Linked DNA regions of Tribolium castaneum. The protein of the gene in region 3 purifies or fractionates together with the protein of the main gene of each other region. This does not show direct contact. Links are inferred from orthologs where the notes say so. Each region holds a gene or a part of one and is shown on either strand. Other genes may lie near its edges.

Region 1 (11,166 bases), on a different chromosome or scaffold from region 3:
CCCAAAATCACGCTCCGAAAAAACCCCATCTTTGGGCAGAAAAATCTACGCCTTTATCTTGATGGTGTTTCTAACAGTTGGCGCCCTGGTTAATATAGTTTGCAAAATCCCCCATTACCAAACCCTGGGATTGATGCAAATGGTTCTTCGAGTACTTTCCGATTTTAGTTTATTACTTTCGACGGTGTTTGCTTTAGTTATGGTGAAAACCACGACTCGCGGTTGGTACCACTTGATCCGAAACCTGTCGCAAGTTTGTGGCAGTGGTACCAGTCGCAAAACCGCATTTGTGGCATGGTTTGTTAGCGAAACTTTGATACTCATCTGCATGCAAGTGGCGTTTATGAGGAAAGCTGCGTTTCGATTTATTCAAACGCACTTTTTCCAAATTTTGCAAATATTTTTCATTTTCTTTCGAGCTGTTACGGGGATTACGGTGCTGCACATGGTGAAGCAGTGCTACCACTCGCAGAAAGAAATTATTCGGAAAGGTTTTGAAGCATTGCCAAGTGTGGAACACAATCTTCTCTTACTCAAAGAGGCTGTTTCTTGTTTTAATGATATTTTCGGGTGGAATTTTTTTTACTTTATCATTTTTGGAATTTGTAGAACTCTTGTTTTGATTGACGATAATGTGAAAAGTCCCAAAGGGATGATTACGAGAGTTGTTTATTACAACTTTTCACTTGAGGTTTTGGGGGGACTTGTGATTTTAGTTAAATTCTGGGTAAAAAAAAACATTTTTTTTTAAATAAAAGTAAAGAATTTTTAATTACAGACCTATGCACTGTACTTCATAATGCTTGCAGATAAAGTCGTGAAAGAATTTGACGATATTTTCGCTGATTTTTCAGAAATATTTGCCAGAACTACTAATAACAAAAAATATTCGTTGCTCAACGAAATTGAACAATGTCGACCGAAATTTTCGGCCGCAAGATTTTACGACATTAACAAATCCACAGTTTTCAGTATTATAAGTACTGTAACTACTTTTGTAATTATTATACTACAGTTTGAACTCAGGGTAGAATTTTAAACGACGTGTAACTTAAGACAGAAAACTGCACCTTGATTAGTTTTAAGTATTACTTATTTATAGAAAGTAGAAACACTTAAAGCACTAGTTAAACTTTGTTCCAGTAAACAATTTCAAATACTTAAAACATTAGAGCGCTTTTACATCCATTAGCTGCTCCCTTTCTCATTATTCATTCGTAAAATGAGCTTGAAAGCACTTGATACAGTTTTCAAAATCGGAAAATACATTCTACTGACTCCCGAAACACCAACAACGAAAAAACCTTCGCTTAAAAAACGTTTTTACGCATTACTTTTGATCATAATTTACACAATAACCTCCTCATTCTGTATGTTTCTGCAAAGTGCAGTTTTCAGACATCGAAGTTTAATGCAAAATTCTTTGCGAGTCGTAGTCAGCATGAATTCGTACTTTTCAGCAATTTTCTCGCTGATTAGAATCAACAGCACCACCCGAAGTTGGTACTACATGGTGAAAAATCTGTCGCAAGTTAGTAGCAGCGGTACCAACTGCAAGTGCACGTTTATGGCCTGGTTTACTGTTGTTTTGATAACCAGACTTTACGATACTTTTGTGTTTATGAAAATGTTTGGGTTTAGGTTCTTAATTTATAGTGTTAGCGATCTGGTGCTATTTTTTCGGCTAATTTTTTCAATCATTACTGCCATTACGGTGTTGCAAATGATTCAACAATGCTACCACTTTCAGAAGAAAACTTTACTGACACGTATCGCAAATAGCGTCGATTCTGACCAAGTTTTCGAAACTTTGGCTAAACTACAACCCGATTTTTTCTGCCTACAAAAAGCTGTGTCGCATTTTAATGATATTTTCGGTTGGGATATTTTGTTTTATGAGTTTTTTGTCGTTTGTAGAACGCTTGTTTACATAGACGACACTGTTAAAATGCCAGAGCATTTAAGAAAAAGGCAGCACATCGATGTTGTTCTCGAAATCTCACTGAAAATCGTTTTAATGGCATTTTTTTGGGTAAGTATTCTCGGTTCTTTACCGTGATTTAAACAGAATTTTAGCTTTTAATTCTGCACTTTACCCTGGTTTGTGACCAAGTTTTGAAAAAATATGAAGAGATTCTCAACATTTTATTAAAAATTAAATTTTTCCTTAGAAAGAAAGTGAATAAGCGAAGATCGCGTTGTTTGAGAAGAATTGAACAAAGTTGCCCTGAATTTTCCGCAGCAAGATTTTATTGCATAAATAGGGCAACACTGTTCAGTCTCTTGAATGCCGCAACTACATTTTTAATTGTTTTGTTACAATTTAAAGTGTACTAAATTCGGTATATACAATAAAGTTTGCAAGAGTCGTGTGTATTTTTCTATAACAATTTGCGTTTTTTTATAAAAATTGCGAAAAAAAATATGGCAGAACCGGAATTCGAACCTCCCACACACAGGAACATGCAAGAAACACTATTTAAAAATTCTCAAAACAGTGGTTCTGAACAGGTAGATTAATAAAAATTTTTGGCTTGGAATGGTTTAGCAAAAATTTGTGGGTACACAGAGAATGGCAAATCGAATTGATTGGTAAAATTTGAGTAAATCGAAAATTCATAGTTTTCTCAAAAAAATTATTCCGAATAAGTCCCAAAGTTTGAGAGCCCTTGAACTGAAATGAATGAGGTTAACTTAACCTATAATAAAAAACAAAGCAAAAAATGGAAATTTTGGAACTGTACAGTGGCATTGGGGGGATGCATTGGGCGTTAAAAGGTGCCCCATGCCCAGTTTATTGCTAATTTTCGCTTTATTTCTATTTTTTACAGTTAGTGGGGTAGAAGGCACAATTAAAGCAGCAGTCGACATCAACCCCACAGCCAATTCAGTCTATAAACACAATTTCCCGCACATAAATCTACTCAATCGCAACGTTCAAAGCCTGACACCACAGTTCATAAATAAATTAGGCGTTAACACAATTCTAATGTCGCCCCCTTGTCAGCCCTTTACCCGAAACGGCCTTCAGGAGGACATCAACGATGAACGAACCAAATCTTTCATCCACGTTTTAGCGATTTTACCTGATCTCAAAGTGACTAGAATCTTAATAGAAAACGTGAAAGGTTTTGAACGGTCAAAAATGAGGGACTTGTTAATTGAAACGCTGGAAAAATGCGGCTTTAATTACCAGGAATTTATTCTCACGCCTACTCAAATTGGGATACCTAACACCAGGCATCGGTACTATTGTCTCGCCAAAAAACCTCCCAATGTGTTCAATTTTAAGACAGGAGTTTTGGTACGAATTACGTTAATTAACTATTATTACGGTTTTTTTTTCAGAAAACGGAATTTCCTAATCAACAAAACGCCCCTCATTGCTTTGAAATCAGCAAAGTTTTGGAACAAAACGAATTAACTCCGTATTATTTAACCGATAAAGTTCTAACAAATTATTTGGAAACCACAGATATACGTTATAGCACTTCGAGAAACACGTGTTGTTTCACTAAGGCTTACGGACGTTACGTTAAAGGCACCGGAAGTGTTTATAGCGATTTGCCCGAAATTACACCTGAAATATTCAACCAACTTTCCGACCACGAGCCTGGAAGTAGCGCCTATTTGAAATTAGCACATGGGTTGAAAATGCGGTTTTTTACACCTAGGGAGGTTGGCAGGCTAATGAGTTTTCCTGAAGATTTTACATTCCCGGAAAATACAAGCGATAAACAAAAGTATATGTTACTGGGGAACAGTATTAACGTCCGTGTTGTAGCAGAATTAATAAAACTATTGCAATGATTCAGTCGTTTTATTGGGTGATTCCCCGTTGTGAATGCGACAGTTCGTACTAATGACAATTATAACGCCCGCGAAACGACAAAATTTGTCACAAAAATATTTTATTTAACAATAATAATCCCACAGTAATGACAAAATATGCGTTTCTGTTTGTGTGTTTAATTTAACCGGAAATTTAATGGAAAAATCCACAAATTCGTTTCGATCTGATGGGAATATGCGCATCAGCTGATTGACGTTAACAAACATCTGTCAAACGTGCCCTGTCCAAATCAAAACTAATTAAATTATCGCAAAAATGTCGCAAACCCGTGGTTATGGTGCTTAAAACTGTGCAATGTTCCGTAGTAGAAGCTGGTTCGGTGGTGGCTGGGGCCGCCCCAAGAACCCCCATTCGCTGGAACACTTGAAATACCTATACAACGTGTTGTCTCGGAACCAAACAGTGTCGGAACACAACCGGGGTTTGCTTGTGGAAACCCTTCGGTCCATAGCCGAAATTCTAATCTGGGGCGACCAAAATGACTCGTCCGTTTTTGAGTAAGATTTTTTGCCCGTTATGATGGGAGTCATCGTGAAATTGCAGCTTCTTTTTGGAGAAGAACATGTTGTCGTTCTTTCTGCGTATCATGAGACAACGAAGCGGGGGCTCGAGCTTTGTCTGCGTCCAGTTACTCCAAACGCTTAATATCCTATTCGAAAATATTAGAAACGAAACTTCGCTATGTAATTGTGGAAGGTTTCGTTTGAATTTGTAACAAAGGTGTTTTTCAGATTACTTGTTATCAAATAATCACGTTAATTCGATAATTGTGCACAAGTTCGATTTTTCGGACGAGGAAGTAATGGCGTACTATATCTCCTTTTTGAAAACTTTGAGCTTGAAACTGAACGCTCATACGATACATTTTTTCTATAATGAAGTATGTTGTGTCACCACATTTGTCTTTATGTAAAGATTTTTCGTAGCATACTAATGATTTTCCGTTGTATACGGAAGCGATCAAGTTTTTTAATCACCCTGAGTCTATGGTCAGGATAGCAGTACGTACTTTGACGCTGAATGTTTACAAAGTTGAGGACGCAAGTATGCTTGCGTTCATCAGAGACAGAACCGCAGCTCCGTATTTTTCCAACATTGTTTGGTTCATTGGCAAACATATCCAAGAGTTGGATGCTTGTGTCCGCAACGATGCCGAGTAAAATTTCGCACACATACGTAATTTTATGAACTACCAATATTTTTCCAGTCATCAGTCGCAGAATCGCTTGTCTGACCTCGTAGCAGAACACTTGGACCACCTCCACTACTTAAACGACATCCTTTGCTTGAACATCACCGATTTGAACCAAGTCCTCACCGACCACCTCTTACACAAACTCCTCATCCCTTTATACATCTACTCGCTGTCAACGGTGCGAAAGCCCACCGGAGGTGTGGAAGCAATCGCAAAAGCGCTCAATCAAAAACTGAACTTAAACGAATCATCATCATCATCAAACGGTGGGATTTCGCACGAACCCTCAACCGGGAAGGTTTCATGCGTTGTCGCTTTGTTCCTCCTGTCGCAAGTTTGTCTCATCATTTCGCACTCGCCGGTTGTCCAAACCCTTGCCTGGATAATCCTCAAAAGCGATCGCTCGATTTACGATAAAGGCGTCGAGAAATTGCTAGAAGCGTACGAACTTGAAATGAAACAAAACGGGAAAAAGGAAGAAGCCAGTGGGTCTGAAAACAGTTTCAAGGACGATGTAATTGAGGAACATAAAAACATCACCGATGAAGAGAAACAACGATTGGCGATAACGCCGACTGAGAGTGAAAGTGTGTCGGAAAAACCGTTTTTGGAAACGGTTTACAACGCATTGGACTGTTCGGAAAACGACTACGCTGCGCTTTTTGCCCTCACTTTACTGTACGCCATGGCATACAATAAAGGTGAGGAACAGTTTAGCAATTTTTGTCTTTTGGGTTTTGCATCGATTTTTAGGGATAATGCCGGACATAAACGAACAAGTATTAAGGCCTAAAAAGACCTACACGTCGAAGACTTTATCTCGCGATGTCCGCTACACTTATAACACCTATCTGGTGGACAAACTCTTGTACATAGTGCTGCTGTCGTGTCAGCCTTCGTGTCGCGTCCGTTTGGTGACGCTTGAGTTGGCTTTGAAGCTTCTGGTGCAACTAGTGATGGCTGATGGTAAAAGTGTACTTCTTGAGTCGCATAAACTGACGATAGAGTCGGCGAAAACGCAAAGTACGGCGCTCTTGAGGAATTTTTACAAGAGTGAGGAGATTTTTCTCGATATGTTTGAACATGAATACTGTGATATGTCGAAGACTTCGTTGAATGTTGAATGGTTGTGTATGGATAGCGCGATTTTGTTGCCGCCAACGGGCACACCCATGACTGGGATTGATTTCACCAAGAGGTTGCCCTGCGGAGAGGTGAGAGTTGACACAAGAAAAAAGCATAATCCGTTTTTTTATTATTATTTTCATTTATTTGTGCGAGATTTATTTACTTTTAAATAATTAAAAAATAATAATTTCAATAATAAATTGCGTATAATTGGAACTGCACTGGTATCATTTAACTATGTATGATTTATACCGGGTTCGTCAAGTTTTACACTCAGGCACTTTTCACCTCTTTGTAATTTATTTAAAATTAAAAAAAAAATCGTATGTGATTTTATTGTAGAGAAGAACGATTTGACCAGTTTTTAAAATGATTACTTGTATGGTGTGTTTTTTCACTTTCGCTTAGTTAACTATAGTCTAATGTTAACGATCTTTGGTCCATAGGTGTATTTTAAGGTAGTGCATCGAAGTGCCTAATTAAATTTTTGAGAAAATGTGTCGTTGATTTTTAAATTCTGTTTTGATATTGGGACAGCTTTTTTCCCATGAATTTTGGTAAAATTGCAAATTACTTCCACAAAAGGTCTCCATCAGGGTGGCGGTTTTCAAAAATTTATTACATTTGTCGTAAAATTGGCACGCGATCATTGTTGGGTTTGAAGGTTGAGGCAGCTGCTAAGAATTTTTCAGGCCCAGATTACCATTTATTTTATCTGTTTACTGTTTAAATGGAATGTTAATCTTTAAATCTTACGGCAAGGGTTCATGCGAATTGTAAACGAAGAATTTATTTGTGCTTAGACCAAAATAGTCATCAATTTGAACTTCTGATGTAATTTTTTAATAAAACATTTTTAACACGTTAGTGTGTTTATTCCGGTCCTGGCTTTAAAACCGCCCGATGGGACCGTGCCGCTAGTTGTAAAATTTCTGCAGTCATTACTGTTATTGGGTCCTTTTGTAGCGGAAATTTATCACTACTCAATCTTGTCCCTCATAAATTATATTGAAATTTCCGATGAATAATATCAAAATGGCTTTTAATCCAATTCTAACGATTTTTTTCAAGTCAAATTTTTGCAGAATAATTTTATTTCGTATTTCCGATCCATTGATGGAAAAAACAGCTGATGTGATTTTTTGGTCAAATGGTTTCTTTCTTTTTTATTGGACAAATGAATCAATAGAAAAAAAAATTTTTCCTAGAGAGATTGGATATCAGTGCAGTGGAATATATTTATTTCATTTTTTTTTCTCTCTTCTAAGAGGTGTAAAGTGCCTGAGTGTAAAACTTGACGAACCCGGTACATCAACTTTTTCGTTTTATTCAGAAAAATCGTTTTGCTTGAAATTATTTTAATTAAAACCAGCAATACATATTACATTTAAGGAGTGCTCTAATTTGTGAAATTAATAACTAATTTGTGCAGTAACAACCACGTGGGGTTTAAAAAATGCCCTTTCCTTTTTAGCAGTTTGTAGCAAGATATTAAAAATAAATAAAAAATAGTACAAGATTTATTTGTAGTTTTTTGTTAATTAAATCTTTTCATTTCCTTATTTGTATTTTTTGCTGTTGTGCTTTTTTATCTCTGTTTCTCTTTTATGGTTGTTTTTTCTCCTTTTGTCTTCGTAAGTAGTAGTGTTATTTTCATTTGAGCAGGTCGAGCGGGCGCGGCGAGCCATCCGCGTGTTTTTCCTGGTGCGAAACGTGGTATTGACGCTGAACGGCGAGCTGGAAACCCAACTGCCGCTCACCAACCCCCAGAGCTGCGTCCAGATTGAGCAAGCCTTGGACCTGAGTATATCTCGTTGTGTGTCACAACTGCACGAATCAAACAATCGTTAAATTGCGACTTAAACCTAATAAACTACAGTATGAAACACAACGCTTTTTATTTGATTTTTCTTATTATTTTTGCATGGTTTTTAGTGGGAGAGGATTTAACGATTGTCTCGTTCGGCGGTGTTTCATCAGACGAGGCCGCCTGATGAGAATGTTTCCGTTTTGTTGCAGATAATTCCGATTTGATCGCGTGTACGGTGCTTTGGAAAGACGGGACGAAGACGAGGCGATTTCTGGTCATTGATGTCTTGCAGCTGATTCTGGTTGAACCAGATACGAAGAGGTTGGGCTGGGGGGTGGCCAAGTTGGTTGGGTTTCTTCAAGATATTGAAGTGACTGGGGATAAGGATGATTCTAGGTGTCTGCATATTACGATACATAGGCCTTTGTCCGGGACTACGACCAATCGGGTGCCATTGCTCAGTGCCAAGTTTGTTTTCGACGATAATATCAGGTGTATGGCGGCAAAGCAGAGATTAACAAAGGTTAGTGGAATCACATCTTGAATAATAATAATAATTTATACTATATAATTTATTGTCTATAATGAACAAAAATAAATAACAGACGAGTTAGTCCTTCAATACAAAAACTGCAATAATAAATAAGAAAAAAAAACATAAAAAAAAAGAAAATACCCTGACATAATTGTGACTTTGGATAATTTCTTCTAAACTTATAGTGTTTCTCACTCCAAAATAAATCATTTGACGTAGTTGTTACGATAAAATCTTTCAAATTTGTGTATTTGTAGCTCAAAACCAATCAGGTTACACTCAATAGCCAGAAAGAGTGTTTGTTTTTGTGAAATCGTTTGAATTCAGTGTCTTTCTGGTACAAAAACCGGCCAAATTGTTGATAAATAATTGACTGAAATAGCGTAATTGTGACCTAAAACAACAATTTTGACAGTTGTTTCGAGAAAATCCCTTTAATTTAGTTTATTTATTGATTAAAAATGAATTAGATTACATAGAACAAGCAAAAATAGTGTGATTTTTTTTGGTGAAATCTCAATAATTATGTGTTTTTGGCACAAAAACGAGCTCAATCGCTGAAAATTGACTAAAATAGCATTGTTATTGTGACTTAAAGTGGCAGTTTTCTTAGGAGTTTTGAGAAAATAGCTGGAATTTATTAGTTTGTTTCTGGCTTTAAAGTTTATTTTTTTTACTTGCACTTGCTAAAAATAGTGTTAGTTTGTTCTAAAATGTTGGTTTTATGTAATTTTTTGAGAGGAATTTCTTGAATTTTGTGTGCTTCTTGTACAAAACTAGTTAAATCGCCCAAAATCGACAGTTTTATCTCTTAAATTTAGTAATTATAGCCATTATCTATTTTGATGTAAAACGTCGATTTTTTTGTAAAATCTTTCAAAGGACAAATCGTTGAAAATTTATCTCGAAAAATATGAAACTGCCAACTATTTTGTTAGTTGTTTCGACAGAATGTCTTGAATTTAACGTGTATCTGGCTTAAAAATTAATTAATTTTTTTTGCACAAGTACCTACCTAGCGTTTTTTTTTGTTATTTTTTTTATTTATTATGTGCGAAAACGAGCTAAATTTTAGCTTTATTGTGACAGATTTGTTAGTAATCTCGACGAAATCTTGTGAATTTAGTATATTTCTGGCCCAGAAATTAATTAATTTACGACAAACAGTTGACCTAAAAGGTGATTTTTTAGTGAAATCTCTTGAATTCAGTGTTTCTGAGACAAAAATGAGCCAAATCGCTCAAAATTTACTGAATTGACACAATTTTCTTGGTTGTTTCAACAAAATCCCTTAAAAAAATTATTACTTGATTACTTGCAGTTCTTAAAAATAAGTGTTTTTGAGGTTTTTTTTGGAAAATCTCGTGATTTTTTTTATAAAAAAACGAGTTAATCGCTCACAAATGATTGGAATACGAAAATTTTCTTAGATATTTTGAAAAAATCTTTTGAAGTGTGTGCTTACTGGCTCAAAAATGAATTAGATTTATTCGCAAATACCAAAAAAAATTCAGCAAAAACACTGATTTTGTAGTTGGGTGAAGTTTGCTGTTTCGACAAAAAGTTTCTGGAATTTAATTTGTTTCTAGCTCAAAATCAACTTTCATCTTCCAAAAAAAGTGTTATTTTGACCTGAAACATTCATTTTTGTAGTTATTTTTTTTTTCAAAAACGTGCTAAATCGCCCAAAACGGAATGAAAATGCGTTATTGTCATTTAAAGCAATTTTTATTGATTGTTTCGACAAAATCTCTTAAATTTAGGTTTCTGTCACAAAAATGAGCAAAACCGCTCGAAATTGAGCGAAATAGTGTTATGTATTGTGAACTAAAGTGAAGATTTGACAAAATTTCGTGGTTTCTAACACAAAAAGTGATAATTTTTCATGTTTCGTGATTAAAAAAGGCCCGAAAATCGCTTCAATAGCGACGAATTTTCCAATTTTCCAGGGCCGTATCAAGGCTCGTCAAAAGAAAATGCAGCACATCGCCCGCCTCCTCGAAATCCCCGGTCAGTCGGGGCCCCCAAGTCCCGCCTTCGTCGGCGGGGGCCTCTACAACCGCTCCACGGGGCGAGGCCTCCGCGACCGCCCCTTCGCCCTCTCCCGGGGGCCCGGTTTTGCCGCCCCCCGCTGGGAGAGCCCCCCAGGTGTGACACACCGAACGGACGAATCGCGCCGTCATCGTGACAGTGATCCAAAAATTTTGAAAAAGGAAGATCGCACTCCCAACAGGTCCAGAGATTCGTCATCGAGTCGGACGAAGTCCAGGGAGGGTTCCCCCAGGATGCCCAGGCCACGGTCGGAGGAGATCCCGCTGGAGTTGATCAAGAAGGCGTCGAATTCGGTGATTGATATGGCGCCCAAAATCGCAATTGTGCCAAGGCCGCAAGTGAAGGAAGAAAGTGAAGAAGTGGAGAAGAAACCGGAGGAGGAAGTTTCGATCAGTTCGGAAGAAACGTCGTTTATTGCGAGTGAGAGGAGGAATTCGAAGAAAGACGGGAATGTGGAGACGGTATAGTACAGGGCGGTTTTGTTGACTTTAGTGTAATTGATTAATAAAATTGTTTTATCATGATGATTGTTTGATTGTGTAATTGGTGATAATCAAAATGTTCCCTAGGAAGGTGAGAGGGAGGTCTAGCTG
Region 2 (10,303 bases), on a different chromosome or scaffold from region 3:
TTCATCCCGCTATTGTCTTTTGTTTTCGAGTTATATCTTAAAAGATTCATATCTTTTTTATTATAAAGGATTCACGTTTGAAACAAAGTCATTATACAGGCACTTTTTTGTAGAGAATTTAGTAATGTTATCAGCGATTTTTTTTAATCATTCGTTTAGCTGTAATAACATAAAATTGTATTTTTTTTAATGGGAATCATAGTTGGCTATGACATTTTCGAAAAGCTTATTTTTTTTCCGAACTCAAAACAATATAAATATAGTTTGATGTTTTTGTATATTTTTGATAAAAATATATTTAAAATATTTGAAAGTAGTTGGCCATGGAAAAATTATTTCACATAAAAGGTGTGAATAATCTAGAAATTTTGTGAACGGTTATTAAAGTAAAAAATGTGAAATTATAAAAATAAGTTAAAGTTATTTTCAATTGAACAAATATACGAGCGTCGCAGATTTTAATTACATAAAAAATGTACAGAAAATTGCAAACGATGTGTCACTACCACTAGATGCCGCTTTTTATGATTTAGTGCAATGGAGGTGACGTTGATAATGTTGTGTATTTTTTTAGCGCAGATGGAATTTGATTTTGGTGTTTGGATTGACATTTTTTTGTAAAATAAAATTTTATTGATAGGCAATCATACAATTAATAAGATTTTTCTTCTTCCGACATTTCTTGTTTAAAATTGGAAAATAGAATGACAACGTAAGCTTGCCATTTTAAATATAAAAACAAATAGTTTTTATTAATTGCAAAAATTTGATCTAATAATAATTTATTATGCTGTTTTTGAATTAATTAGGGATTAAAAAATCATTAAATTATAAATACTTGTTGGGTAATACAATTTTCATAGTTTTAATTAAAAATCCAAAATTTTTTCATGGCCTACTATAAAGAAAAAGCGAAATGTTTTAGTTTTTCTTAAATATTTAAAATTAATGTATTACACAAACAGACATATCAAATCAGAAAAAAATAATTTTTTCAAAAATGTCATAGCCAACTATGATTCCTATTTAAAAAAATACAACTTTATGTTATTACAGTTAAACGAATGAGTAATAAATTCTCGTAAAAAAGTAAAGCACTTGGTAATTTTTAGGAATCAAACGGCTACACTGCATCCAGTCGAATCCCGTACAGTTTTTCCGACCAAAGACAAATCATGAAACGACCAAGACCTGTCAAAAAAGTGATAAAGCCCATGCAGCCCCTGCGACCTATTGACAGCCCCAAACCAAGGTCACCTCATCCTCCGCCCCCTAAACGGCCCCACATTGAGGAGCCCCCTATCAGACAGGAAGAACAAGAGTTTCCTGAAGCGTTAGTGAAGCCAAAGGAAGAGCCTCTGGATGATACCGAAAGTAACACTTCACAAAAGTTTGAAGAAAATAGTTTAGATTTGTCAACGATGTTGGATACGAAAATTGGGGAGTCGTCAAGTTGGCAAACCTCCGAAATTATCAATAAACCTCAGGATTCGTCAACACCAGGTATGCGAAACTGTGATCGTTGTGCTTTTTATGTAAATGGATGTTTTTGGCTTGAATTATTTTTAGAACCATTGATTGAAAGTAGATTATGTTATTAGGTGTAAAAGTGGCGATCTTGAACATTTATTTTATTTTTTTAATAAGGTCTGTCCACAATGACTTTTTATGTGTGGCTAAAAAGTATGGATACAGTTAAATATTTTCAGAACGTTTTAACAGAAAACCTTGGAATTTGGGGAACAGTTAAAAGTGTTTAAATTCTATCATCTGAGAGCATTATCAAATTTTTATCATCATTTATTTTGAAAATTCAAGGCTAACTTGATTTTTTTAAATGGCACGAAGAGTCAAATTTGACCATTTTAAAAAGGGCATTTTTTCTGAATTCAATGATGTAACATGATACCCACCTTTACTTTTATTAAAATGTAAAAAAATAAAAATTCAAAAATTTTCTGGAATAGTAAAACTAAGTTGGCTTTGAAAATACGTTATAAGCGATATCGGTCACTTGTATTTTAGCCAAAAATTAAACTTGGGTGCAATAATTAGTTTAATAATAGTACATTTAAGTAAAACTGAGCGAAAAAAATTCCCATGTTAGTTTATCATGGAGACAGAAAGCCAAGAAGTTAGTGGAAATCAGTTTGAACATCGTTTGTAGCGTAAAAATCAAGTATTCCGTGTTTAAAATTTCCTAATTAAAACGTTAAAAGTGTTATTTTAACAATTATTTTTAACTTTTACTTATTTTGTGGTTAATGAGCTAACGATAGATAAAGACAACATTTTCAAGGCTAATAAGATTTTACATTTTTCAAAATTTTCGATTTTTTTAAGTTTCGATTAAATTAAGGTATGCATGTGTTATACCATAGAACTCAGAAAAAAATGCTCTTCTCAAAAATATTAAATTTGACCCTTGTTGCTATTAAAAAAAAATAAGTTAGCCTTGTATCTGAAGAACAAATGGAGATAGAAATTTAATAAACATCTGAAAACCAAATTTTAATAAGTTTTGATCAATAGTTTTTATAATATTTAACTGTATTTATACTTTTTAGCGACCCTGTAGTTTTACATTTTTTTACATACATATTTTGTAATATGTTTTTTTTATTCATAATAATGAACAAAAAAAAATAAAAAAAAATTTGTGACGGTGTGATGAAATTGTGCAAAAATTTGCGGGACCTGCGTAAAATAATACACATTGAACTTTTAAATACCTCAATTATTTTCTTATAATTTCCGTTATATGGCATTTCTTTCTCTTTAGTTAGTTTTTGCTTTCGTACAGTAGCATAGTAGTACGTTTGTTGCATGATACTTGCTCCAAAATGCCATATAATTGTAGTAGTTTGTTGTTTGATTGGTATTTAATTGTTGTTGTGTATTATTTGATCTGTAGGCACCCTGCAGTGCATTCTGGGAAGACGCGGTAATCCCCGTCTGATCGTTGATGGTTACGTCTTTTATAAGAAGAGTGTGTACAAAGGCAAGGCGTTCTGGTATTGTAAAAACAGCCGATCGCCGGAAAAATGCCAAGCGGTTTGTTGGACAATGAACGGAAACATTGTCAAATGGCCGTACATGCACACGCATCCGGTCATTCCCGACGTGTTTAACCCGGACGAAGACACTGAAGTTCCTATACAAAATTTACAAGAAGTATTATGGCAGACCTCGTATAGTTAAGAAGATTTTTTTTGTGATATTTTTTGTGAGTGTCAAATTTTAGTGGTAGAAAAAATTCGATATGTAGCCAAAACATCCAGTGACGTTTGTGAGACTGTTTTGTATTTCTCTCAATTGTAAGTTCTTTTTTTAAATAAAGAAGTTTCTAATCAACAGGTGGCGGTTTGATGTTGATTAAAAGTGGGCGTGGCCAGTTGGTTCTAATCCACCAAGGTCATATTTACATACATTGTGATACGAAAAATAACCGACATATGTGGGTGTGTGTGAAGAAGAAAACGCTCAATTGTGAAGGCTGTCTCACGACCTTGAACGGACCCATACTTCTCTCGTACAGTGAACACAACCATCCACAATTACAGGACGTTATACAAAGACTGCAAGTACCTAGCTGTAGTGTGTCACCCGAACTGATGTAACACACCAATGCCATAGTTTTCGGACAAAGAATTGTTATTTATTTTTGTTGATTTATACCAAATATTTATTTCCGTTATTTTATTTTCTATGACGAGTTGGGAGTGATTTTATTGTTTTTGTTGACCAGTCAGGATATTTTATTTATTTATTTATTATCGAACGTTTTTGTATTAATTTTCCGTTAATAAAAAATGGGAACCCACGACTTGTCCTCAATACGGCCCTGTCCTTTCCTCGGGAATTGAGCGTCTCTCGGTTGGTATGGCCGAACTTTCCAGAATTTGACTGACATTTCTGGAATTTTTTCTAACCACACTTTTGTGCCCAGTGAAGTAAAAAATGTCCGGAAAAATTGACGAAGTAAGTTAATTAATTAACACTTACAATCAATTCAATTAAAATTGTAGCTCAAAAAAGACTTGGCCGAGCTTCAAGCTCTCGAAGCTCAAGCAACGCGCCACAAAGTCAAAGACTTTTTGTCGCTGGAAGTTAGGAAAATCTCAACGGAAATAACTAAATTACAAGAGCAATTAAACACAACCACTGTTCCAACACCAGTCACTTCAACGAATAAGCGCTATCGCGTCAAATTAAACAATTACGGTGAGTTTTTTCACTGAAATTGCACGTCTTGACTGCGTGTTTTTGGGACAGCTTGGGATCAAACATCGAAATTTGTGAAATTCTACGTCACTTTGCCCAAAGTTCAGACCATTCCGCCTGAAAATGTCGTTTGCCACTTCACGAATAAGTCGCTAGAGCTGGAAGTGAGAGATCTCGAAAACAAAGATTACGTCTTCACTATTAACAATCTTCTGGGGGCTGTTGACCCAGCGGCCAGTAATTGGAAGATTAAGTCAGGTGTAATATTTTTGAACCAAGTTAATTATTTAATTAAAATTGTTTTGATGTAGATATGGTGGTAATAAATGCATCAAAGGTCAAGGGGGACCCCTGGTCTCACGTGACTGAGCTTGAGAAAAAAGTAGATGATGCACAAAAAGCCAAATTCAAAACTGGGGATAATGTGGACCCCAATGAGGGCATTATGTCACTAATGAAGAATATGTAAGTTGGTTCAAATTATTTGGACTTTCGTTTGATTTGGTTTTTAGGTATGAGACAGGCGATGACGAAATGAAAAGGACAATTGCTAAAGCCTGGACTGAGAGTCAAATGAAATCGTCATCCTTATCCTAACTGGTTTTTATTTTTTTCTATTTTTATTTTGATATTTTGGAGGAGCTTAAGTTACGTTATTTGGCCCCCATTTAAGAAAGGAGTAATAAATACAATGTGAAGTATTAAACGTTTTAGTTTCAATTGGTGTGAATAATTTAAATACAATTCGGAAATAAAATTAATCAGACGCCCTCTGGTGATGACTTTTGAACTATGTCGAAAACAGTAAAGAAATTTTCGTAATTCCACATTTAACTGACATTTAATGAATTGTTCAACAATTTTGCGTGTATAGTGTTAATTACTTACAATAGAAAGAATTACTTTAAAAGTACGTGGTGGTAAATACTAGCGTTGACTTTGGTTCTGTAGTTTTTCGTGGTATAAAGTGTTTATTGTTGGAACTTGAAAGTGGATAAAAAGTGAAAAATATTTAAATTTTGATTACAAAGTGTTATCAAACTGTTGTCTAATTAAAGATTATAAGTAATGGATCACAGCGAACACAAAGTTTGGCTCAAGAAACCAATAAATTAGTGAAGTGTTATGAATTTTAGGTTAGAATTTTCCACTGAAAAAATCATGAAATGCTGCGGTAAATCTACAAAACTACAATAAAGATTAACAACTGCTGATACATTTAAACGTAAATTATGCCAAAAGGTACGCTTTTCAATGTCTTTGTAATAATTTTCTAATAAAGAAAGTGAACCAAACAGTCATTCGTTATTCGTGTTTTCCTCGTCATCTCTCATTTGTCAACATAAGTTTCTTGCATCAAAGATGCAATAATTATTCCGCATAGGCAATGCAATAATTGTGAAGCCCCAAAATTCGTACAACGCTCAAAATATCCGAATAAACATTTTCCCGCCATTTATGGTTACTGTTTTCGACCTAGCTCAGTGGCGCCCCCAACGGTAATTTTACTTCCGAATTGAATTTAAATTTTGTCCCTAATAAAACTTTCACTTGTCAGTTTCTTATCAGAGGATAGAGGGAAGCACTTTACAATCACGTGTATAACTTATTTTAATTGAAATTTTATTCACCCACTTAACAAAATTCTTATCAATTAAATAGTGAGGAAATTACTTAAAACTAAAGTACAACTGTGTCAAATATACAAAATAGTGGATAAAGTTCTATTCAATAAAATAGAAAACGTGTCAGAAGTGACAAGAAATAAAAAATTAAGCACACCCTGATACTCTTTCGTCACTTCTGATACATTTTTTTAACTTAAATAAATTAGGTACATCACCGTAAAAATCGTGCCATTCATTATAAAACCAATAAATAAATTCGATCATTTGCACTGAAAAAACGCTTTAAAAAATCACTACAAATACTTTCACTCCCTTGAAACATTGATGCAAAACTGGCCTTGTTTTATGTAAATAAATAACTGCACTATTATGATTTAAAGGTCACCTGACTGTGTTTAAAGCATTTTAAAAGTAATTCCGGAAAATAAAAAATTGTTCCTGGAGCAAATGCACTACCAAAAAAATTATTGTTTAATATTATTTTACACGTGAAAAAATTAACCTTACAAAATAGACCAAGATCACGAATCAAGGTTCATTAATTACTTACATAAATAATTATAAGTAATTACAGAACCTTGGTTGGAGCTAGAAATTTGCAGGAAAGATTAACGAAAGTTTTATTTGTAAATGTTAAAAGCCGTGGCAAAATAAAAACAATCAGTCAATAAATAAAACTATAAAAAACAATAAAGATAGAAATCGAAAATTTCGACTAGCTTAATATTTTTTTGAATTAAGGTTTTTGGGACAAAAATTGTTGCAAACATTTTCAAACACTGATACTTATTTAAATAATTAAATAACTTGACGTCCTAATTTTTTAGACTTCGGATTAATTTCTGATTTTTCTTTAAATAACTCAAGATCACAAGACCAACAACCTCGCGACCTTGCACAGTACGTTGCAAATTTGACTAAGTTCCGTCCTCTCACGTATAATTACTTTGGCATTAAACGAACAAAGTACGTTTTTTATTTTAAAGCGCCTTTTCGGTGAATTTATTGCAAAGTGGCAAGAAACACTCTAACATCGTACCTAATCTCACAGCCTTCGTTCGCTCAGTTATGGCATCTTGAAACCGGTGAAAAAAAATAAATTAAAACATAATCAAGCCCCGGCTTCTGCTGCGTCTTTTAAAGTACGTTGTCTTGGAATAAATTAAATAAAATCGCTATTTTTAAAATTACTGACTAGAAAACGGTCTCACGAGAGACTCTTTCATCTCTTTATTCACTTCATGGAATGTCGTCGACATTGCGTTTCGCGTGCGTTCCATGAGTTCGTCCAAATCGTCATGTGATAAATTCTCAGTTGGAATAGGCGGTAGTGCGGTAACGATTACCTTACCTATTGAGGTGTTTGTAAAAACCTATTTACCACCTTAATGTACTTACCGTGATCGAAGCGTTTATTTTGCTTATCAAGGAAATAATACTGACTGAAAACCACCGGTAAAATCGGCAATTTCGACGAGATGGCTATGTGAAAAGCCCCCTTTTTAAACGGGTGGATTTGACCGGTGTTACGGCGTGTGCCTTCAGGGAACACCCATAATTTGATCTGGAATTAATTGTTTTTAGAAAATTATTATAAGTTATGATCTTTAAAATTAAAGGATTTGGCGCTATTTTAGTCTTTTAAAAAGAAAAAAAAAACTGTTCTTCAAAACAAAAACAATCCAGAAAAATTTAAACAAGTATGAATTATTTAAAATTCTACTCATCAAAAGATGAGTGGGAGGCAATGTTTGCATACAGTTATCGGAGTCGATAAGGCTTGAAAAAATGAGAAAAACTTGTTTGTTGTACGATGATTGAGTTGCCCAACATGGTTTATTATTATTATAGGCCATATTGATAATGTAGGACAACAACATACAAAAACAATACGTTACTCTATTCGTTTCTTTCGTTTATAATTTTATAATTGATTTTTTGTCTAAAAACGTGTTTAAATCCTCAGAACTTGCATTTTGACATAAATCTGTGATTATTTCTTATCTCTTACATTTGGAAAAATTAATAATTAATAATAGTGTTTTACATGCACATTTAAAATTGTATTGTTTTTCACTGAAGTTTAAAACATATTATTATTTATGTTTTGTTTATTTTTGCTCGTATTCCTGTATTCATTATGAACAAACAAACATTACAAAAATGTTTATTCAAAAATTTTTAATCACTCATTTAAAATTGCACCCAATGGGTAAAGTTTTTTTATTAAATGAAAAATATCCGATGCAATAATTGACTTTTTCATTTTTTTAGATTATAGCTGTGTTGTTGCTGCATGTTTATAAAATATTGCACTCTATATATAGGCTGTTCCAATATTAAAAAAAACCCTAAAGTTATGTTTTTTCAAATGGAACACCCTAAATTTTATTGCATTTTTGGACGTAGCTTTTAATACTGATGATTTTAATGTAAACTTATATTGGTCGATTTTGCTTAATTTTTGAAATAATTTGATTTTTGTGACAAAGACACGCTTTTTAAAAAAAATCATTACATAAAAACTAAGAATCTCAGAAAAGTAGAACTTTCACCACTTTAAAATGGATGTTCAAACTTGAAGGAATTATAATTTTTATTAGCTTACTGCAATCAAGAAGATAAAAAATGAAGAGGTTTGTTGCAAGTTGAATAACTTCAAAATTTTAAATGGAACACCCAATTTTTTATTTTTGCATCTAAAAGACCTTTAAATTGTCTCTCTAAAAACATTAACAGTTAAGTGTCTTTTGCTGATTATTCAAAAGATATTTAACATTAAACATTAAAAAAAAATTAACTATTGTTTCAGTAGTCGAAAAGTGAAATTTTCTGCTAATAACAACTTTATGTTACCCTTAGGCCATTATTTGTCATTTATTACAGTGAAATAACTAAAGTTTTAATATTTTTGGCGAATTTTTAATTCCCGTATAAACTCCATCAAGTGGTCTGGGGTGGAGTTGCTATGGTTATGGTATGGTTACTATGGTAACAACAATGCTCATGAATAGTGTGCATTGTTGTTGAAATTAACTTTTAAAGTAAAATATCTTTTTAGTTATTAACTTTAAACATTTGAAACTTTATGTTTTTAGCTAGACAATTTAATAATCTTTGAGAAGCAAGAACAAAAAATACGGTGTTCCATTTAACTTTTTCAAGTTATTCAACTTTTAACAAACTTCTTATTTTTTTTACGTTTCTAATTGCATTGCGCCAAACAATTGGAACAGATTTAAGTTTGAACTTTTCTCTATAAAGTAGTGAAAGTCCTACTGTTCTACGATTCTCCGTTTTTGTGTAATAAATTTTTAAATAAAACGTTTTTTCAAATTATTTCAAAAACTAAGCAGAATCGACAAATACAAGTTTAGATTAAAATCATCAGTATTAAAATTACGTCTAAAAATGCAATAAAATTTAGGGTGTTCCATTAAAAAAAAACATAACTTTAGTGTTTTTTTAATATTTTTATTTTATTATTTTTTATTTATTTAATTTTATTATCTATAGTAAAAAATTCCCTAATCTAAAAAATTTAAATAGTTCGAGTGTATTATTTTAAACGTAAAACTTTGTCCTTCTGTTTGGAAAACAAGGCACGTGTCTTGCCCTATATTTTTTAATTATCTTAAACGTATTGATTTTCTTCAGATTTATTATAAGAGGGCTTCTCACAACCACGTGCCTGAATAGTGAATTTGACGTCAGGACGTACGATCTGTTCAGTTCATTTATCTGAATAAATCCATTCTAAACCACTCAATATTTTTTTGATTTTTTTTTAAATAAATTTTTCAGTGTTGTTACAAAATTGATTATTCAAACACAATTGATCTGTCGTAAAGCGTGACATGATTAGATGGCCTAAAATTGGAAGAACAAATATTTGCTTTAAGCACTCAAATAAACATTATTAGTTTAAATTTTTCTGTTGTAAAAAATAATTGATGTAAATTGCATTCGGTTGTAAAACAAAAACAACGGTATTATCTTATCACAGTAAAAAATATTACGCGGTATACGCACTATTATTGTTAACAACTTAACAGTTGATGAAAAAATGATATGGTAGCAAACTGCTCCAACTTATCGCTAGTTTGAAAAATTCTAGGTCGCAAGAAATCATTACAAATTCAAAATATTCAATATTCAAATCGATTAATCAATTGGTTTTTATTACTCAAGAGAGAATAAATAATGCGATGTAAATCATACAATTTCACAGTTTATGGCCAAATCAATAACACATGCATTTACGTGGACACATAATTAAAATATTTCGTATCACAAATATTACAAATAAATTACGATCTTTTGTAGAAATTTATCACAAATGAGGTCAATAGATTGATATCTTATTCCACGTAAGGTGTAAAAATCCCAGGAACACTTTAAGTCACTCAATTTCTGATCAAAAAATTACAAATCATGCATTTAAATAAATA
Region 3 (11,166 bases):
AACAATTCAAAGAAAGATTTGTAATTTCTGAGTTTATGTGAACGACTTTGCAACAACTGTTTCAGCTTGTAACAGAATACGTCTCTGACTTAAATGCTCTATTTGAAAAATTGGATATAAACGACAGGATCGGTGTGGGCCCTGAAATTTCATTACAGCAGTACATGGTGAATAATTTGGGCCTCGACGAAATTCTATCCTTGCAAACAATGAAACTGAATGTGAGATACACCCAAGGTTTTCTGACGCTGCGTAATAATTCGTGGAAAAAAAACATAAACAAACAGTAATATTTAAGATTGTTGGAATACGTTATATCATTGTTTTTCAGTGTAATTGCTTTGGACGAGTCTGGAATATTGCAAAAAATTCTCAAATCAAATTTACGGCCTGTTTCAACTCTCAACTTGAATCCTGGGTATTCAAGTGCCGGTCGTGAACACGTAGGATCCGCAATTTTACTGTTTTTAGGCGGTGTTTTAATCGCGTTATTATTTCTCGTGTCCGAATTCGTGTTTTACTTTTACAAACGGGGTCGTAATCACATTAACATATAAAAATTTACTTGTTTATTACAAGAATTGGCAGCACATAAGAACTACAAAATGCCCAACAGAAGTTAAGTACATTTAAGCCTCAATATTAATCACATTACAAAATAAATAAACATCGCACCCCCCAAAACCCTAACAAAAATTAACTGCAAGAAGCTACACAAATGTATTTAGCTCTTTGAGTTCCTTTGCTAGTCCTCAAAACGTAGGGGAGCTTCGAGTAGAATTTAGTGTTTGATATTTCCATACCTCCATTCAAAAAATTTAGAAATTAAATCACATTTCTGACGTGACTAGTGTTATGTCAGACCAAATCCGATCGGATGTAGGAACGACTTTGTTGTGAATTTTTGAGATCAAATGTCAGATCATTAAACTATACATAACTAAAACGAAACAAAACGGGAAAACCGCACATCCACCAACATTCAAGTCTGCGTCAGCGTTTCCGTTATTGTTGAAAAATCAATATTAACAGCAAATTCTTTGAAAATGCAAAAGTAATCAATTATCCTGGCGGCAGGAATTATTGATGACTTTACGCATTATAAAATCGACAAATGAACACGTTCTGGAACAAAATTGATGATGCAGTCAACGTTTATAATAATTTCTTGATTGCAAAAAGTAAGTTCAATAACACTGGTCTGCAAAAAAATTCTCCCTATTATTATAGGCACTCATCATATATATATGATGCTCGAAGACACAAACTTTTTGTGTAATAAAAAATAAAATGTAAGTATTTTTTAAATTTGGCCTTGCAATCGTTATTAAAGACTTGACTGATTGGCTTCTCCTCCAATTGGAAAATTTAAGGATTGCTATAATATTTACAACAAAAATTATGTGTAAAATACAAAAAATCAATAAAACAATTAAAAATCCTGGTCGTTGATGACGTCACTTTCAATATTCGTGACGCTCCCGGGAGTTTAGACACAGTCAATAATTATTAATGGTTAGATCTCTCATTGAAAGTATAAATTACATTATTATTATTTTTTAAAGTGCATGAATAATTTATTAAATTTATAATTTACATGCGAATACAATCAAAAACACAAGAAAAACGTAACAAAAACAGTTGAAGAGAATTAAATTTTCTACAAACGACGTTTAAAGCCCCTCAAGCGGCGAATTAGTTTCATTTTTACCGGTGTTTAAATGACCCATTAAAGCTATTTATACGTAAACGGGTGAAAATGTTTTAATAAAGTAGACCACAGCCTTAATTTACTTTTGGTTCATGAATAATGGCACATTGCAGTAAGTTACAAAACAGTTAATTTGTTCAAGCTGAATAATCCTGTATCATTAGTGCACTTCCTGTCAATTTTCTAATTTTACGAATTCTAATTGATAAAATTGACTGCATCACCACCAGAACGGAACAATTTGTGGCACTTACAGACCCCAGATTTTATAATAAAGCAGTGAGAAAGATTATGATTAAACTTAATGTAAATTAATGTATTTAAAAGGAATGTAATTAAAAAAAATAAAAACAAAGAGGGTTACTCTATACCGTGAGCAAAAATCATAACTAAACCTGGCTCTACCATCATGTCTTCGCCCATATGCGTATTGTCGCACGCCAGTACCAGCACAGCCTGCTTGCCCGGTACTCTTTTACAAACATAGTTTTCGTATTGTCTCCTATTGTTTTGCCTGGTCTCCAGCGAGCTCAAGCCGGGGGGCCACCTCCTCTCGTGACAATTTTCCATTAGATCGTCTAATATGTGGTTGGGGCACCCCATCTCAGTTAACGTCCTTCTAATCATTCTCTGGAAGGAAATTATGAAAATTTCGCCACTTGTTGATTGAACCTACTTGAAGAACTTCATCTGGTGTCGAGATCATCCCTCCCCATCGGGTGACTCGCGCCCTTTGGAGAAAGTTGCTCCACCTTAAGACTTCATCTCTCTCCATTGCATCAGCTATTGCCCTCATTGAAGGGTTCGATATCCTCATGGCCCTCATGAACTCCTTCAGCAGCTGCATTTCGCGCTTTTGCTCGTTGATTAGGAAGCGCTGCTCGGTGATTTCCTGCTGGAAGTCGTTCATTTTCTGCTGCTGGGTCTGTATCAGCGCTCGCAGTTCTTTCACGCAATTGTGGTCTTTCAACTCATCTTTAGGAATCACTAAACCACAGCCCTTCTCACACGGTAAAGGTCTCTTAGGATTATGTTCGCATTCTTCAAGGTGGTTCGAGAGAGAGTCTAATTTTAATACACGCGTACAGCCATACTGAGCGTTATCACAATTTATACACAGTCTGGAACAAAATATTGAATCGAACGGTTTCATTTCAGACTTTTTGATTACCTAGAAAGCAAGTTTCGTAAAATTCGGGGCACTGGGCGCAGTTGCGCTGATGTGACACTTTGTCGGTCCACGGGGCATGTGGGCTGTCTTGTGATCCATTCGGTTATGCAGGACTTGCAAAATGCATGCTCGCACACAGGTGCCTGCAAAACCAGTAAGACTTTTTCCATTAAAAAAATAAGTAAACACACCTGCAAGGGGTCCTCCAGTACTCCCGAACAAATGGGGCACACCAATTCCTCATCTACATCTCCTTGAAACCTATTAATATCAAAGCCCATTTTAACAGTAACGACCCATCACAATTTGCACGGATTTTAGCACTGCGATTTATTTATAAATTGTAAAATCATATGTGACAAATGTCACCCATCAACAAAATGTCTGACACAGAAACAAAAAATTTAGGAAGTTTTGTCTGTTAGGTTGGTCAGGCGTGATGTTTCAGCTAACCTAATTTTTAAGTGCGTATTTATTTTAACTTTTTATGCTTACAAATAAAAAAATATTGGATTAATACGTGTTATTAACAAAGAACAGTGGTCACATATCGATTTATTTGGTGAATTGTATATTACAACATAGTTTTGTAGGGGTCGTAGTCATGAGTAAGCCAGTTGTTTCCAAACAAAAATCCAAAAAATACTACTTTAAAAAAACTTCCAACAAAAGACTGAGCTTGGACGTGAACTTGCGGGGCTTCCTCTGCAGTTGTAACAACAGGGAAAAGGACTGCATTAAGGAATCTTACAATTTACTAAACGAATATGCTGACAAATTGTACCAAGAGAGCAACGAACCTGAAGCTGAGCAAGACATTGACGACTCGTTGGCTAAAGAAATATCCGAACTGAAGCAAGACAAGAGTGAAAAACGATTCCAGGTTATAGAATCTGGTGCCAAAAATTTCCTATTCATTAGGACGAGTTTGGAGAATCCGGTTGAGCTAGCAGAGGCGATTATAAAAGATGTTGATGGGAGTAAGACCCAAAGAACGAAATTTTTGCTGAGACTGATTCCTGTGGAAATTACGTGCAAGGCGAATGTGAGTGATATTGTCAACGCATTTGTGCCCCTCGCCCAGAAACACTTTGTGGAGTCCCCGCAAACGTTTTGTGTGATCTTCAACCACCGGAATAATAATGTTGTTTCGCGGGATGAAGTCATAAAATTAATTGCAGCGAAAGTGTCCGAGCTGAGGCCTGATCATAAAGTTGATCTTAAAGAGGCAAAAGTGGCTATTATTGTTGAAGTGATAAAGGGGTTTGCGTTTTTAAGTGTTATACCTGACTATCTTAAGCACAAAAAGTATAATTTATTGTCACTTTGTAGTCAAGAACAAGTAGCTGATTGTAATTAATGTTGCAATAAAATTTTCTATTAATATAAAAATTTTATTTCCAAAGTTTTGTTCTAGAACAGATACATGGTTGCATTGCTACAACATGAGTACACATAGTGTAGGTTTGACTATTACCATTGTTTAAAATTTCAAAGTTGCATCATAAAATTCAAAACATTCGTCAATTTCAAGAAGTTAATAAACATTAAAGTAATATATGGTAAAAGTTTAATATCTTTATGCTTAATGGTAAATAAATCTTTGTACAAATAGGAAAAGAAATAGAAAAAATACAGTATTTTAAATGCACTGTGAACATTAAGCTCAAAAAAATGAAACAAATACCACTTCCTAAAAGATTTCATTGTTAATTATACTATCGCTACTTTATTACATCGGTTTTTCAATCAAAATTAGGAATTATAGTTTGTTTAAAAATATAAATACTTACATTATAAATTCACAAATTCAGTTATGCTAAACAATGGTGACATAATATGCACAATTATACAAGTTCAATTGCCTATGTAAAAATATTCAACCTTAAAATTAATCACTGCCTAAAGCGGTAATTTTTATGAAAGCTTTTGTGGTGGAAATTACGACGGTGCCGGTTGCCCGAATAAAACGGCTTGTAACCGTTGTTCTGACTCCAGTTCTTAGTGTTGTGAAATTCCTGAAACAAAAATACGATATACAACAATTCATACAAATATTTGAATACGAAACGACAGCTAAAATCACTCAATTTTCTATATTTTTATCCAAGAAGTTTAGGAAACTATTTTTAAATTTGCAAAATATTTTTTAATATATTTAATAGCTTTTCAAAAAATATAAAGAAGCTATTATCGGAACTAACAAATTACTCACTTGTACGGGATTGTAACCAGGATTAGACTTGTAGGAGTTATTCAGTTTTTGATGTTTGACTTTGCCTTGGTCCGAATTATCACTCAAAGCTCTCTTTCTGTCTTCTCTCCTTTCGTTGCTAATTTCCTTATCTAGCTGAGACCTAGTACCGTTCCACGAGGAAACAGGTGCCGAATACCCACTGTGGGACATTTTGAACAATTCGCTAACAGTCCCATCTTGTTTTTTCTCTCCCCAACTTTTACTCTGCGTCGTTGGTTCAGTTGAAGTAACCTTCCAATCGCCCACTGCCGCCTTCGTAGAAACTCTATACTCCACATCCTGTGGCGACTGATTCGATTCGTCGGAACAACTCGAATCGTCCGTCTCATACGGAACCAATTTCGTAGTAACCGGCTGAAATGACCCTTTCTTTTCCGCATTTGTTGAACTAATCGGTGTTGTACTATTAGTATTGCGTGGCGATAACGTCCGATTCTTTTGCATTAGTGGTGATTTGGCGGTTTCCTCGTTATTTATGCTAGGCATTGATTTTTTCGGGGGAAGCGGAGGTGTCGCCACCGGTTTGTTTTCTTTTTGTGGACTTTTTTGCGGATTTTCCGGTTCGCTGTCGCTCGTTCCGGAACTCTCTGAGTGATTTCCGTTACCGTTAGTGACCGGTGTGGGGTTAACACCGTTGATTTTCTTTTCTACTCGGTCGGGGGGCAGTTCGGGGCCGTAGACTTTGTCGCTCGTAAAACCGATACCGTTCAGTGAAGCTTTTGATGTGTTGTTGCTAGTATTTGCTTCGGGAGAAAGCGGAGGTTTTATCTTGTTGTTTGTCCCGTTATTTGATTTGGTAAATGGAGATGACTCTAATTCGTACAGCATTATGTATGCGTTTGTATTGAACACAGCTTGGTGAGATATCACCCGCACCTGTGAAGGAAGGGAGAAATAAATTTTTCGTCAATTAATTATCCCCTACATAACGTTTTTGTAGACACACATGTTTGTATTATGAATGCGTAAGTTTTATAACTGTCCCTAATCATATTATTACACAATTATGGGGCGAAAAATAAGCAGAACCTTGTAGGTATTTGGGATATAATATTTTTTGTAACATGTCTTACGATCTTGTATTACATGGTATGTCACTGATAAAATAAATTATTGAAATAATTCTTATTAGAATAAAAAAATGCACCCTGTTGTTTTCCTTGACCTATTTTATTAGAAATAATGTATGCTCCAATTGACATTTAGCTTTCATCAAATGTTAGTTAACGTAATGAAAGTCGGAGGATATCTCCTTCAAATACATTTTTCTTAAAAAACTGACGATAGCACATTTACGATGCTTATTTAATATTTTTTACTTAGAAAAACTTTATTTTACAAAGGTTTAATCAGTGTTTAATAGTGCCTGGGTCACCAAATATGAAGCAATAATTTCATAGTGTAATTTTTAATGGAAACTGGTCAGTTTGTCAATGTTACTCTTACCATACTATCATCAAACTGGTAAAAATTACCAGACGGCGCTTGGGCAACTGCAGTGTAGTGGCCACAATTAACAGTAGGTCCCATATGTGTGACTAAGGCAACAAGTCTATAGATCAGTGGAACACTGGGACGATGTCTGGCATACCTTGTTAGATCCAGTCTTTGTCGAAAATGTATATGTTTAGTAATTTTATTATTGCTAACAGAAAACCGTTTGAGTTGTATACAAAGAACCATAGGGGCTCTTTCAAGGGAGAACTGTTTTGTTGCAGGTACCTAGACAAGAGAAAACATAGATAAGTAACAAAATCAAACTTTTGAATACAAATACCCACTTTTTTCTGACAAGACTGACAATGATACGAGTCATCGTCCAATTTTTCCCTAGAGAAGTAACCTTCCAACGCCTCGTCGAGCGTTTGAGCTTTCCTAATGTCTAATAGTAAATCTTGAAAGTGTTGGAAGGTGGTGCTGACGTGACCACACTTCAAACATCTCACTGCCGATCTTAAATATCCGCCTAGTATTTGATTGAGAGGTGTGGTCTCTTTCACTTTTGAATCAAATTCGGAATGGTTTTTAAATCGACTTAAATAGGATTTTTCCATTGCTTCCACTAGATATCTAAGAAATTCGTGCGCATCTTCTTGCCGACCCGGGATGAGGTTTCGACACACCAAACGCAGCTTGTTGTAGATGAGGAGAGGACGGATTGTGTTTGTGTTACGTTGTTGGGAGTCTTGGAGAGTCTTCCGCATTGCACATATTATGCACAGCCCACCTGCAAAACATAAGAAGCTCTCAGTCAAAAAATTCACTCAATTATTTATTAAAAATTTCGAAATGTCTTAAGTTTCGTGATTAAAAAGCACATGCTATTGCTTTATTTGCTCATTAAAAACCACTTCTAATTCTAATCATTGCTTCGATAAGAGTTCTAGAGGTAAGCTAAACAGTTATTGCGCAGTTGTATTCACAATATTATCTTAATTGATCAAATATATTGGCGCCATTCTCACATTTTTATATTGTCGTGTATAGAAATTCTGTTTATGCGGCTTAATAGTGAATAAAATAATTTAATAATAAATAAATTAATTAACATAATAACAAGGCCAGTCAGCTTGCAATTTCCGTGTAAAATTTTTGTAATGCTCGTTTACAATTAAGTATGTTTGTGTCACAATGACAGTTTCAAAATTGAGAGCTTTCGTAATCAGCCCAAAAACAATTAATGTTTATTTTTTAATCAAACAGATGTGAACAGAAATAACTAAGACAAAATCGTCAATATTTTGGTAACAAAATAAATAAAAAATAAAATTAAAATTAATTTTTTTTCAAAATATACACCAAAACCCGGAACTTCCAATTTTTTTTACTAAAATTAACATGAAAAAATTTGTTAGTGGTGTCAACTAAAGATAAGAGAGTAACATTTCTGTTAAAAAAAAGTCGCTTCAAATTCTCAATACCACGAAAACTGTCAACAAACAGGAAATTTTAATTTTTACTTTTCTTTTCAACGGTAAATAAATAAAGGAAAATCAGAAATAGTAATCAACGAAAGAACCAGTGTACTGAAAGATTCTTTGACCTTGCCGGTAATATAGACATCTACACTAATCATATTATTGGAATTATTTTTTTTTATTATTTGAAATTTTAAAACAATACGTAAACAGCGAGCAGAAGTGTTTTAAATTAAATGTTAAAAATGATTATTATGTAAATAAAATTTTCCGTTTAGAAGATTTGATGTTTTACTTGATAACACTAGATTTTTTCCATACTGTATTTGCTCAACTAGATTTAGAGCTTATTTTTAATAAAATTTTGTAAATAATAAAATGCTTGTGGTGAACAAACCTGAGTCCTGGCATTCAGCTGTGTGTTCCTTATCAGAAATGAGCCAATTGACAAGAGCGGGAACGTGGAAAAGTGCTTGAAGCGTAGAGTTGAGATAACAGGTATTTCCCATGTTAATCATGCCGGCCCCCACTGACCAGTCACATTTACTCCAACCTAACTGCACAGCTTCAAAAGGATACAGCTCGTAACTAGCCAATTTGAGCGTTTCATCCGCGCCCATGTCTCCCTCAGGCTTGCTGCGGATTGAGCGAAAAATCACAAGAGCCCCTCAAAACGGCGAAACTCACCTGGGCTGCGGAGTCTCCGAGCTTTTCAACACGATGTACTTCGACTTGAGTTTGTCCAAGACGGTGCTTTGGTAGCTCCCGGCCGGCTCGAAGTCGATGTTGGACAGGAGGGCCTTCTTGGTGGATCCCGCCAACTGCGTGTCCAGAGAACTGTCGTCGGTCTTGGTGAGGGCGGAGCGCAAAGCCGCGTTCACGGGCTCGAGGGTGGACGCCGGCATCCCTGTGACAGCTACACGTGCCAGAGAAACCCCGCGTTGTGGCGGCCACCTACCGTATTGTCTGGCTTCGAACGGTGCTAGCTGGGGCTCGGGGGCTGTCGGTGCAGCATAGTCTCGAACACTGGCTCGGGGGCGAGTTGGCGCGACGCGGTTTTTTATCAGATAACGCCAATTGCGCGATTTATTTAGAACATCAGTGGCACCACCAGAATTTGCTCCGAACGACGATTTTCAGCTTGTTGTCACTAGTGCGCATGTCAATTCGCCCCAAGGGCAGCGCGACAACTACGAGCTCTTTTGGTATTGAACCGTACTTTTCCAAATCTATAATTTTTACGGAGGGTTATTTGTTATTGCTTTAGGTCTTTTATTATTAAATATTTGCCAAGGCTCAACACCCACACATTTGATTCTTATTTCAATGGTTTGGTTATTTTTGTTTTTGTTAAGGGGTTAAGGTTACCGAAATTTGCCGTTAACCAACTTGATTTTTTTTGGAATTTTTTGGAAATTGCCAAATGTTTCTAATTTTATTAGTTTTTTATTAATAACTCAATTATTGTGCGCAATAATGATCAGTGTAATTTTACTTGTTATTATTTACTTTAATAATTAAATTTTTGAAAGGTGAATTTGTCCAAAATTGAATTCCTCTGTGGAAAATTTTAACTTGTTAAAAAAGGGTACCTTAAAAACGGGTACATTTTTTAAAAAATGTTGTGTACTAAAGGAGGGCCTTGCTAGTAATTAATTGCTATCACCTTTTAAGATAAGATTCGTGTGTGACGTAATTTGTTGATTATACTTTTACGACACTAATAATACGTATTAGTCGTAAAAATAAAATTCAATGCGTTTCCATGCAAAAATTTTAAATTGTAAGTAAAAGTTTGAATTTAAAATATAAATTAAAAAAATACTTGATGTGAGCAACCAGGAATACGCATCGGCACTACGGGTAACATACACAGGGTGTCCCAGCAAATATCTTTAAATTTTTTCCTAAGCCGTATATACTGACCTCTGGGTGACTGATGTGCGAATTATTTGCGGGTTATTTCTCAAATTTTCTTAGACGGAATCAAAAACACTAATTGCACTTATGGCTTGATATTGCGTTTAAAACTGATAATGATGTATCGTTCTCTTTGATGGGATTTGGGTTGAAGAAAAAAAAATGTAATGGGAACATGGTATTTATTTGGGTTTATTGATTTGTAGACAAAGACAAGATATATCACATTAATTAAATATATAGAATACAATATTTTGATTTCAATTGACATACAGTACATTAAGCTCGTTATGAAGGGGTGAAAAAATAAATTTAGTCTGAAAGCTCAAGCTTCATTATATTTTATCACACAGTCGGAAAGCGTTAATAAATAAATAAGCAAGGATTTTGATTGCCGCGTGGTAAAGTGTGCAAGATATGTATAGGTTCTTTACAATTCATATAAACTCTTATGAACAACAGTGTATATATAAATTATTATCTTTTTTAATAATTATATGATTGTTTCATGTGCGTTAATAACGTACTACATTTTTATATTATGGATTTACGATTTAATTATTTTCATAATTTTATGCACGACAGTAATAAAATTATGAAGAACAACGCGTACTACATACATAAGTAGAGGTTTCCTAACACGTGTAACAGGCGTCAAGTGTATTACTGTCGTATTTAGATTTTTATTTAAAGTTGCGATAGTTTAGTCAAATTCACATCGTATTTACTCTTTTAACATCAGTTAAAAAGATGTCCAAATGATTGTATAGACTTCACATATCAAAGAAAGCCAAAATAGGAGTGCACTTAAATCGCAGGTTCATATTCTAGTAAGGGCAACATCAATTTTTTTCATCCAAAATGCCAGATTGCGTAGAAATCGCTTTTATGCGTTGTGTGCGGATTGTCTGGAGTTTTTTGGCCAAAAGGCCTACAGTGGTTTAAAAAAATACGAGTTATGGTTCGTTCTGCGATGATATGATCAGTATTTTGATTCGGCAACCGTAGAAATAAAAAGCCCTGGCATTTTTGACGTTGTTTGTACGTGTTATTGTAAGAAATCTAGCTCTAACACGTTATCAGTCATAGAAAAGTAGTTCTTACATTAGAAAAGTCTCTAGACTGAACAATAAGTATTTTGCAGCCGACAAACCAACATTTCCGCCGTAACTTTGGATAAGTAATAGTG

The links. Proteins that work in one complex are often made in the same cells at the same time.
Region 1: the proteins of elgi (region 3) and ema purify together in Homo sapiens (affinity purification with mass spectrometry; 3 studies listed by BioGRID and IntAct, with this or other methods). This does not show direct contact. The link is inferred for Tribolium castaneum from reciprocal best matches to the Homo sapiens genes RNF41 and CLEC16A.
Region 2: the proteins of elgi (region 3) and calcyclin-binding protein purify together in Homo sapiens (affinity purification with mass spectrometry; 4 studies listed by BioGRID and IntAct, with this or other methods). This does not show direct contact. The link is inferred for Tribolium castaneum from reciprocal best matches to the Homo sapiens genes RNF41 and CACYBP.

The regions. Positions count from the first base shown.
Region 1 is NC_087399.1:2,867,186-2,878,351, forward strand, and holds the start of ema (protein CLEC16A homolog), read left to right. Parts: upstream 1-3,984; 5' UTR 3,985-4,147; coding exon 4,148-4,350; intron 4,351-4,396; coding exon 4,397-4,536; intron 4,537-4,584; coding exon 4,585-4,733; intron 4,734-4,779; coding exon 4,780-5,009; intron 5,010-5,060; coding exon 5,061-5,749; intron 5,750-5,801; coding exon 5,802-6,262; intron 6,263-7,838; coding exon 7,839-7,992; intron 7,993-8,195; coding exon 8,196-8,509; intron 8,510-10,470; coding exon 10,471-11,040; 3' UTR 11,041-11,166. Other genes in the region: Mt2 (tRNA (cytosine(38)-C(5))-methyltransferase), read left to right, coding at 2,724-2,778, 2,832-3,304, 3,349-3,810. UniProt on the Homo sapiens protein: Regulator of mitophagy through the upstream regulation of the RNF41/NRDP1-PRKN pathway. Mitophagy is a selective form of autophagy necessary for mitochondrial quality control.
Region 2 is NC_087400.1:1,875,015-1,885,317, forward strand, and holds calcyclin-binding protein, read left to right. Parts: upstream 1-3,845; 5' UTR 3,846-3,960; coding exon 3,961-3,981; intron 3,982-4,028; coding exon 4,029-4,224; intron 4,225-4,275; coding exon 4,276-4,482; intron 4,483-4,535; coding exon 4,536-4,689; intron 4,690-4,736; coding exon 4,737-4,821; 3' UTR 4,822-4,930; downstream 4,931-10,303. Other genes in the region: protein bric-a-brac 1, read left to right, coding at 1,113-1,503, 2,915-3,201; Agpat1 (1-acyl-sn-glycerol-3-phosphate acyltransferase alpha), read right to left, coding at 7,040-7,203, 7,251-7,416. UniProt on the Homo sapiens protein: May be involved in calcium-dependent ubiquitination and subsequent proteasomal degradation of target proteins. Probably serves as a molecular bridge in ubiquitin E3 complexes. Participates in the ubiquitin-mediated degradation of beta-catenin (CTNNB1).
Region 3 is NC_087394.1:31,067,461-31,078,626, reverse strand, and holds elgi (E3 ubiquitin-protein ligase NRDP1), read right to left. Parts: upstream 3,164-11,166; coding exon 2,883-3,163; intron 2,833-2,882; coding exon 2,388-2,832; intron 2,342-2,387; coding exon 2,072-2,341; 3' UTR 558-2,071; downstream 1-557. Other genes in the region: uncharacterized protein LOC103312325, read left to right, coding at 1-20, 66-286, 332-557; THUMP domain-containing protein 1 homolog, read left to right, coding at 3,487-4,242; scny (ubiquitin carboxyl-terminal hydrolase 36), read right to left, coding at 4,778-4,900, 5,098-6,015, 6,586-6,861, 6,921-7,366, 8,455-8,693, 8,745-8,962. UniProt on the Homo sapiens protein: Acts as E3 ubiquitin-protein ligase and regulates the degradation of target proteins. Polyubiquitinates MYD88. Negatively regulates MYD88-dependent production of pro-inflammatory cytokines.